2 linked regions of the Nothobranchius furzeri genome follow. The protein of the gene in region 2 interacts with the protein of the main gene of each other region in a biochemical or structural test. Links are inferred from orthologs where the notes say so. Each region holds a gene or a part of one and is shown on either strand. Other genes may lie near its edges.

Region 1 (3,958 bases), on a different chromosome or scaffold from region 2:
GTTTGTCTAGACTTCTAGGCCGCTGGATGCTTGTAAAATATGAGAAGATAATTTAAATATTGCTCTTTTTTAGGATCAATTATGCTGCTATTGTGATTATTTAGGGCTGAAGTGGAACTAAAACCTTTATCAACGTCACGTCTCTAGCTTAGAATTGATTTTTGGAAGATGCATTAACTCATTCACTGCTATTGACGACTAAAGTCGTCATTTGCATTTTTTTACTGTTTGAGCATCGGAACGAGCCCCCGCGCTGAGAGAACAAACATCTCAGCCCTGAAGCCGTTCTTCATCCACATGCGTCACACGTCACGTGATCAGGAAGCAGAACATCCATGTATTAGGAGATCGTTTTGGGCCGTTCCTGTAAAAAAAGTGAGGCGCGAACCGGAAAAGCGTCTGCCGATCACAAGTCGACAACGGATTATGAAAGAACGGATAACGCTCGAAACACACGGCTTCTTCCTGATGTAAGAGGTGAGTCTCCTCTTAGTTTTGGCATCGACATCATCCTAGCGCGCAACGTTCCGTGACTCTTAAAAACACAGTAAAAACGGTGAGAAACGCTGGCATCGAAGGCTACTAGCGATCAGGAAACGGCTGGCAGTGAATGAGTTAACAGTAAAGCTAATCTGCGCATAATCCAAGTGTCCTGGTTAAGTGAAAAGTGAGGTCAACAGCTGATAAATTACTGCTAATGTAAAAAAAAAAAAGGTCTGAATTATCACAGGATTGCTCCAATAAATAAATAAATACAGGAGTACTGGCAGCGTTTGACGCGTTAGGACACCAGAGGCCACGTTGGTACGTCTCTGGAAAAGCAATCTGCATAAACGCAATCACCAAATGAAGCGTTCCGCCAAATCCAAGAGGCCCAGCTGCAAAGTTAGGCCCATTTTTCCTTCTAAGAGTCAAGAGCCGTTTGAAATTACAGAGGAGCGATGGGACATGATGGGTAGAGTGCCTGGAATGAACTCTGGGAGGGTGAAGCGAGGGAACAAGTCCTTCTCACCTTCAGAAGAAAAACATCTACAGGCAAGTCTGTACTCTCACGTGTCAACAAAGCTGAGACGAGCTGACTCAATGGGACATTTTTGTTTCTTTTACCCAACAATCTGAGCATGAGACTGTGGTTTCACAGTTTCTAAGCTCTAAATTCGCTTCGAGGCCGAATCAGACGTCACCCAAAACCACAGATAACCACGTAGCGCTATTCGTAAACCAAAGATAAGCCAGGAAGGAGCCCTGAGAGAACATCAAAATCACAATCTTTAACATTTTCTTCGTCTGAATAAAAATAACGCAGGTTGGTAAACTTTTCCACCTCGTTTCTTGAGGGAGTTCAGCTTGTTTGTAGCCTTAAATCAAATTCCTGGGTGAGTAGGGAGGCAGCTGCCACTAAACAATTGCAAAAAAAATAGCAACAACAAAAGTCAGAGTTTTGGAAAAACAAATCTTCTTGCATAGTCCTGTCCTGATGTAGACTTTAAAAAATAAGGATCGTGAAAAAATGTTCTGCATGAAGAAAGGGCAATTTTCTTTCAACTCTAAACAAGGGAAGCACCCTTAGTCCTAACCAAGGATGTGACTAATACCTGGAGAAGCTTCAGAGATGTGTTTGTCATGATAAAGTTGAGAATTTGCTTTCCGGCGGTGAGTGGACGAGTGGCTCTGAACCAAGGACGGATCAGTGCATGAAGCGTTACATAACAAGCTAACAACGCCGCCACAAACCGCCTTCTGTGTCCAAATACCCCCCCCCCCCCCCCCCCCCCAAGCCCTCAGAAAGCTGAGAGGAGGCGGTCAAGACCCTGGCCACCTAATTCCTGGAAGCTGGTGTGTTGTTGAGCTACCCTGCGGGATAATCAACAGAAAAAAAAACAACCACAAGCAGAAAAAAACTGACTTTATATTAAATGTCACCGTTTAAAAATAACTGATACGTATTTGTTTGAGCTAAACCACACCTGATATTCAAGTACCTTTTTTTTAAATTGTACTGCAATTAAAATCTACAAAGTAAACAGACACTTTAAAAACACGCCTATCGTTTCCGCTCCGGGACTTTTCTACAAAACAGGTAAACAAAACTGTTTCTGTGTTTAAAAAGAACGAAAGCATGGAATTAGAAAGACACATCAAGAACACACCTAAGATGTTCCGGGACTTTTCTTTTTTATATATATAACGGAAGCAACTTCAAAAAGTCCCTTCTATGCTAAAACACGTGCTATCAGGCTTATCTAATATTGTCATAAATTGTGAAAAGGACTGTTTAATGTCCCTTAAACTTTGTAAAACTATTTTGGAAATAAATTGTTTAAAAAAACACATCTTTTCAAACGTGTAAGGCCGTGCCGGCTAATGTTAGCTTAGCCAATGCGGAAGTAGTTTGTCACATATCAAAACAAAAGACTTAAGCTATTTGTTAAACATAAAAAACGACTAGAGTAATTAGGTAGAGGGTTTTGGAGAGTATTTATGTGTAAATAAAATAAGTTGGAGTTAAACAACTAAAGCGCAAATATTTTTTTATGTTTCTAAAACAAGGCCCGTTTTGGTTCAAGCAGAAGGCCGAGTAATCCACCACTGTTTTGATCCCTGCTCTTCGGGATTTACTCACCACTTGGTATCGGCTTGCTGGGTCCATCCCGACTAGATTCAGCCGGCAAACAAGCCAGGCCAGAAAACAAAAATACGAGCCTGACTTGTGAATGCACTCGGAGTTCTCAGTCACGGAAAGATTTGATTCCACAAAGGAGGAGAAACACGGCGACAGAAATGGCTGCTGACCCGATGAGCTCGCTGAGGAAAATAGACAAGCCAACGTTGAGCAACAGTCAACCAGGCTGGGAGGGGGGGGGGGGGGGGGGGGGGGGGGGGGGCGCTTCCGATCTGACATTTCAAAGTAAAACACTTTCCCAACGTTTTCCGTTAAATGCAACAAAACACACGGGGTAAAGAATGCTTAAGAATATATCAAAGTGCATTAAAATTAACACATTTATGGTGACATAAACAAAATAAAAAGCTGCACAGAGCCACTTGCACTTCGTGGTTGGAGTAAAAAAACAAGATTGCTACAATTTTTAACAAATACTAAAGTCAGCGATTATGATATGCTACAATATGATATGATAGAATAGAATGGAATAGAATAGAATAGAATAGAATAGTAGTCACTATGCCCTAAAGCACAATGGGTGTTCACTGAGGCATCATATTCTATTTAAGCAAGACAAATAAACCCTGTTTTAAAAAGGCAAATAATGTCATTGAAAATATTATTTAGGTTTTTTTTTTTTTTTTTTTACATTTCATGATCACTTCAAAATAATTATTTTTAATGTTTGTTTCTTGTCACTTTGGGAACGCCGTTTTTGTTCTGTCTGAGCATCTTGCTCCTTCCACGCACACCCCATTGGTTAGCTGCCATGCAATCTTTAAACACGCTATATAAATAAAAATAGAATGGTATAGTATGGTATTTTGATTAATAAAAATATTCGAGATAACTAATCCCTGGGGTTTCACAACTGACACCCCTGCACCCACCTGGGTACCATTGGTGTGTTAAAAATCTCATGATTCCGCATTTTTAGCTTTGCATTAATCCATGATGTTATAATTTCTTGAATTCTAATTGACTATATTTTATTAGATTGATAAATCACAATAATCCTTTATTTTACTAGATTTACTTAAACTTGATTTGAATTTTATTGGGGGTTTTTTCTGTAAAGCACTGTGATCATTGTGCTTGTTGGCTATACAAATGAAACTCAGCTTAATTAATATATTTTAAAACGTAACAATTTTACAAAAGCAGTACTCAACTGTGAATTACCAAATTTGTTCTATAGCATTACACATTATTATGAAAATGGGATTGCTTTATCCTGAAAAATTTTAATGGACATACTTCATTGTTATTATTATTATTGTTGTTGTTGTTGTT
Region 2 (4,248 bases):
CCTGCAAATAAATTTTCACAGGTGATGCCAATACCTATGCGACTTCAAGGGATGTGCTCCTGGCTGCAAAGCATTGCACCTTCGAATACAAGATTTTGTCTTGGCTTGTGAGTGTTTATGGATGTGTAGACAAATAAACTTGTTGATATGATATGTAGATACATATGTAGATACATAAACTTGTTTATATTCAGTACAAGTTACATTTTTTTTCTGCTTCCGTTAGTTGAAAAATATGAGAAAAACCCCTTGAGAAAATAATCGTGAATTCAATCACAATTGCAGTATTGAAGAAAACATCGCAATTAAGATTGTTTTCCAAAATCGTTCAGCCCTAGTAAAAGGATATGAAAACAAACCTTTGCAGATTTAAAAAGTCTTAAGTGGACCCTCTTTGACAACCTGCTAAACGCAGGAAGAGACTGACAGCTGATATTTCACAAACATTGCTTGGTGGGGGGACCCACAGGGATGGTAGCACGCCACCCGTTTACTTGGAAACGAGCACACACACACACACACACATGTACGCAGATAGCCGACATGACTGTGCACCACTCTAGTATCATGCTGTTAAATTTGAATCCACAGGTTTTGGGCAGTGCTACAGACCAGCAGACTATCCGGAGTCAGGGGGAATATTTCAGAGGCACCTTATTTATATCGGCATGGGGCACTGCGCTTCCCAACTCTATAAATAGCCATGGTAAATACTTAACCTGATCACTTATAGTGCTAACAGAATAATAAAAGTGGAAAACTCTACTGAAATTGTGTTTTCACACTGATGAATGCTGGTATTCACAAGATGGAGAACCTGTCTTTCTAATTTACACATTTCTTGGTATCCAATATGCAGATGGATTTACTGTAATGTAACTGAACACCTCTGAATGTTTGTCCACACACAGCTTGTTAAATACATGACTTAAAGTTAAAGGGCTTCTCAGTTACTAGAAGTCTTGTAACCAGTCTAATGCTAAAGTCAAAGCAAAAACAGTTTAAGACTTTAGGGTGACATTATTCCAGTGTACTGGAACTTAGAAATTTTCATTGATGAAAACAACCAATCAGTTAAAAGCTGCAAGTTTACAACAAACAATTAATCAAGCGGTGTTTATTTATACTACTCATTAGAAACTCTCGATATGTCTGAACATTGATGCAGGAGAGGCTGAACCAATGACGGAGTGGAATCTACTCAAACTTGTTTGACAACAGTGGCAGCAGGTCTAGAGTGCTGACAAAAGGCTACTAGGTGATCAATATAAAGCCTCTAAAGAGTTAGAAATGTCATACTCACCTTGTCATTTTGAACTGAACCCTTTACTGCATTACTTTCTTTGTGATTCTTAACATCTGTAACAGAGCTTCGCAACCTTCCGGGGTAGCATGGGGATAAATGAATGTGCACATGTGGGGAGCGAGGGCTGCAGAGCTCGGGGTTAGAAACGTGGCATGAAATTCCAGTGTTAGGGTAGGGCACCTCGAGGGAAAAGCTCCTCTGTATGGCACGATGCTTTTCACCAAGCCCGATTTGATCTTTTCCAGACAAACCGCTTTTATCGTTTTTCTCTGATGGCTTGGATGAAGAAAACAAACAAGCAGAGGTACTGCGATACAGTTTTCTGTGATTGATGTTTTCCCTTTGAGATAGGTGAACTTGGTGGTGAGCTTCGTTGGCTGCAACCATTTCCACAACTCCCTTGGTAGATACTGTTGGTTTCTGGTGGGCAAAATGCAGCAGCACGCTGCTAGAGTGAAGATTAGGTCTGTCTGAGGCTGACGGAAGCTCCATCAACGCGCTATTGCCTTCTGATTTGCATTTTGTTCCATCCTGTAGAGGAATATTAAAGTGGACCATGTGTTTCATGTCCCTAAGTTCAGATGAGCAGCTTCGTTTTGATGTTTGGTGTCCACTTGCTACAGTGGAGCTCGCCCCTACTTTCTCTTGGGAGAAATCACTGAAAGACGTCTGAAGATGTGACTGATTAGTACCCTTTGGCAGTGGGTAAGCAAACGGAGTCACAGCACATCCTGGGGAAGCAGGTGGAGTGCTACATGGGCTCTTCGGAATAATAATCAGTGAGGAGCATCGTCGCAGCGGGACCTTGGACTTGCGACAAAGCAGAGTCCTCTCCTGGATTGTCCTGTGCTTTTCTGGAAGCTCTGGCTCAAAGATGCTGCTGCTGCTACAGTACCCCGCATCGCTGGCCATGCTGCTGTTGCATGAACCTCCGTCAGAGCCGGTACCTGCTCCAACTTCACAAGCCCCTGGTTCTCCATCTTCTAAACTGCAATCCAGTTTTCCACCGAGTTTCCCACAGGGCTGCAGCGCAATTTGCAAAACGCTCTTCTTATTACACCCTCCAGCGTGAACCCTGGGTATGAACACTGAAGAGCACTGACTGCTGGCAACGTCTGGTGACAGAGGAGTCACCTTCAAGTGAACAGAGCTGTGCGCCAGATTCTCCGCTGGGCCATGAGCCGACAGACTGACTCCACTCTCTTCACCTTGGCTGCTGAGGCTTTCCGACAGGGGGTCCGTGTTGCTTCTCCTTGACGCAAAATGCAAACGGAGCTGATGTGACATTTGTTCAACTCACTAATCCCTGTAGGGCTGGCGAGACGTACATGATCAAACTTGCTGGTGGAAAAAAAAAACGAGAGCAAACGCAACAGCTCCATGCGCTGTGATCACAATCATTAGTAGCTGCGCATTGCCAAAATAGCTCTGGTGACAAGCTACATTCCTCTCCAGGCTGATCTCAGCTTTTAGTCAGAGCAGGCCAGTGGTTCTGTTTGGAGACATGACCCAAACACATGACCTTTCAAACCGAACCATTAGCCCCTTTAAAATTCCTCGGCCCAATAAAGAAGAACAAAGCTACTCTAAAGATAATTGGAAAACCTTTTCCTCAGCTTTGCATTCTAATAAAAGCCTAGCGTAACTCGACTGTGCCTCCAAAAAAAAAAACAGACAAATTAGCATTTTTCTTCTGAAAATAAAGAAAAACAAACAAAAGCATGACAGTCCAACGTGCTGCATTTTAGACTGAAGCTCTGGTAAAGTGTCACATCTGCGTTGGCCCATTCGCTCAGGACTCCTGCTGCTGCTATGCTACTAATGTTTCTGCTGCTCTGTGCCCCACAAATAGTTTTACCCATTGCTATTGAATTACAGGAAATCAAACGAGTGAATGTCAACAAAATTCTGCATCAAACCAAGGAGCAGGTTGCAAAAGCACATTTCAGACAGTAAATCACAGAGCTCATTAGGATAACACAAGAGCTCCTTTTAGTGTTTTAGCAGTGACTTTAAATATTTCCTGCAGGGAACAGGACAGCTGCTGCCTAATGAGAAAAACGTGAGGTTTTAAGAAAAAATAAATGTCATGAAACTGGTTATCTGATGCCTCATGTAACAGTCAATGCTGCTCTTATTACTTCTCCATAGATGTTGACAGTTTAATTTATTAACAGTGAGGCTGCCTGACCTATTTCAGGGCATTACTTTGCTTCCAAAGTATAATAATGGAAGTCACGGCCGGGATAAGGACATGACTCACTGCAGGACGCTGTGGAACTCCTAACCTATTTTTTAAACCAACAGAACCGTGTGACAGTAATGCAATGGCCATACAATATCAAATGCTTATATAGAATGACGTCATGCGGCAATAATACAGAGACACGTCCCTTAAGAACTCCATGAGTTTGGTATCAAAGTGAACAAAAACAAAGGCGGTATTTAATCAACTTTTCAGAGAACCAGTCTGCTGTGTAGTCACTACAAGCTGAGTCAGAGAGGTGTGGTTCGAGTAAAGACTGGAAAAATCAATCAGCAGGTGCAGCAGGTGGATGAACTAGTTTCTTAAGCTGTGTTTATTTACTTTTAGGTATTTAACCAACCTCTCAGTCACTGTGTAACAGTTACTGTTTGTATGCAGCATCTAATCTGGAATATGCTACATCGATGGTTTAGTTCTTGAATGTTTTTAAAACAGTTCAAGTTTTTAATCCTCTACAGTACAGACTATTTTGAACAATTTAGGGGAAAATTCTACTAATTTAATAATAAACAACAGGTTAAAAGAGTGAGAAGGCAATTTGTAAAAGTCCAGTTTGTACATCAATGTTCTCAGTTTGGTTCCATTTCCGAGTGGCTGAAGGAGCTGCTTGATCTGTGTTGATCTTTGTTCTACAGCAAATCTTTTCCTTATTACTACTATGTAAAGATTTTTAGTA

The links. The genes of interacting proteins can lie anywhere in the genome.
Region 1: the proteins of nedd4a (region 2) and ndfip2 form a complex in vitro, tested with the Homo sapiens proteins (3 studies listed by BioGRID, with this or other methods). The link is inferred for Nothobranchius furzeri from reciprocal best matches to the Homo sapiens genes NEDD4 and NDFIP2.

Annotation. Positions count from the first base shown.
Region 1 is NC_091754.1:54,373,735-54,377,692, forward strand, and holds the start of ndfip2 (NEDD4 family-interacting protein 2), read right to left. Parts: upstream 2,801-3,958; 5' UTR 2,651-2,800; coding exon 2,624-2,650; intron 1-2,623. UniProt on the Homo sapiens protein: Activates HECT domain-containing E3 ubiquitin-protein ligases, including ITCH, NEDD4, NEDD4L, SMURF2, WWP1 and WWP2, and consequently modulates the stability of their targets. As a result, may control many cellular processes.
Region 2 is NC_091749.1:60,023,890-60,028,137, reverse strand, and holds the start of nedd4a (E3 ubiquitin-protein ligase NEDD4), read right to left. Parts: upstream 2,801-4,248; 5' UTR 2,594-2,800; coding exon 1,304-2,593; intron 1-1,303. UniProt on the Homo sapiens protein: E3 ubiquitin-protein ligase which accepts ubiquitin from an E2 ubiquitin-conjugating enzyme in the form of a thioester and then directly transfers the ubiquitin to targeted substrates. Specifically ubiquitinates 'Lys-63' in target proteins.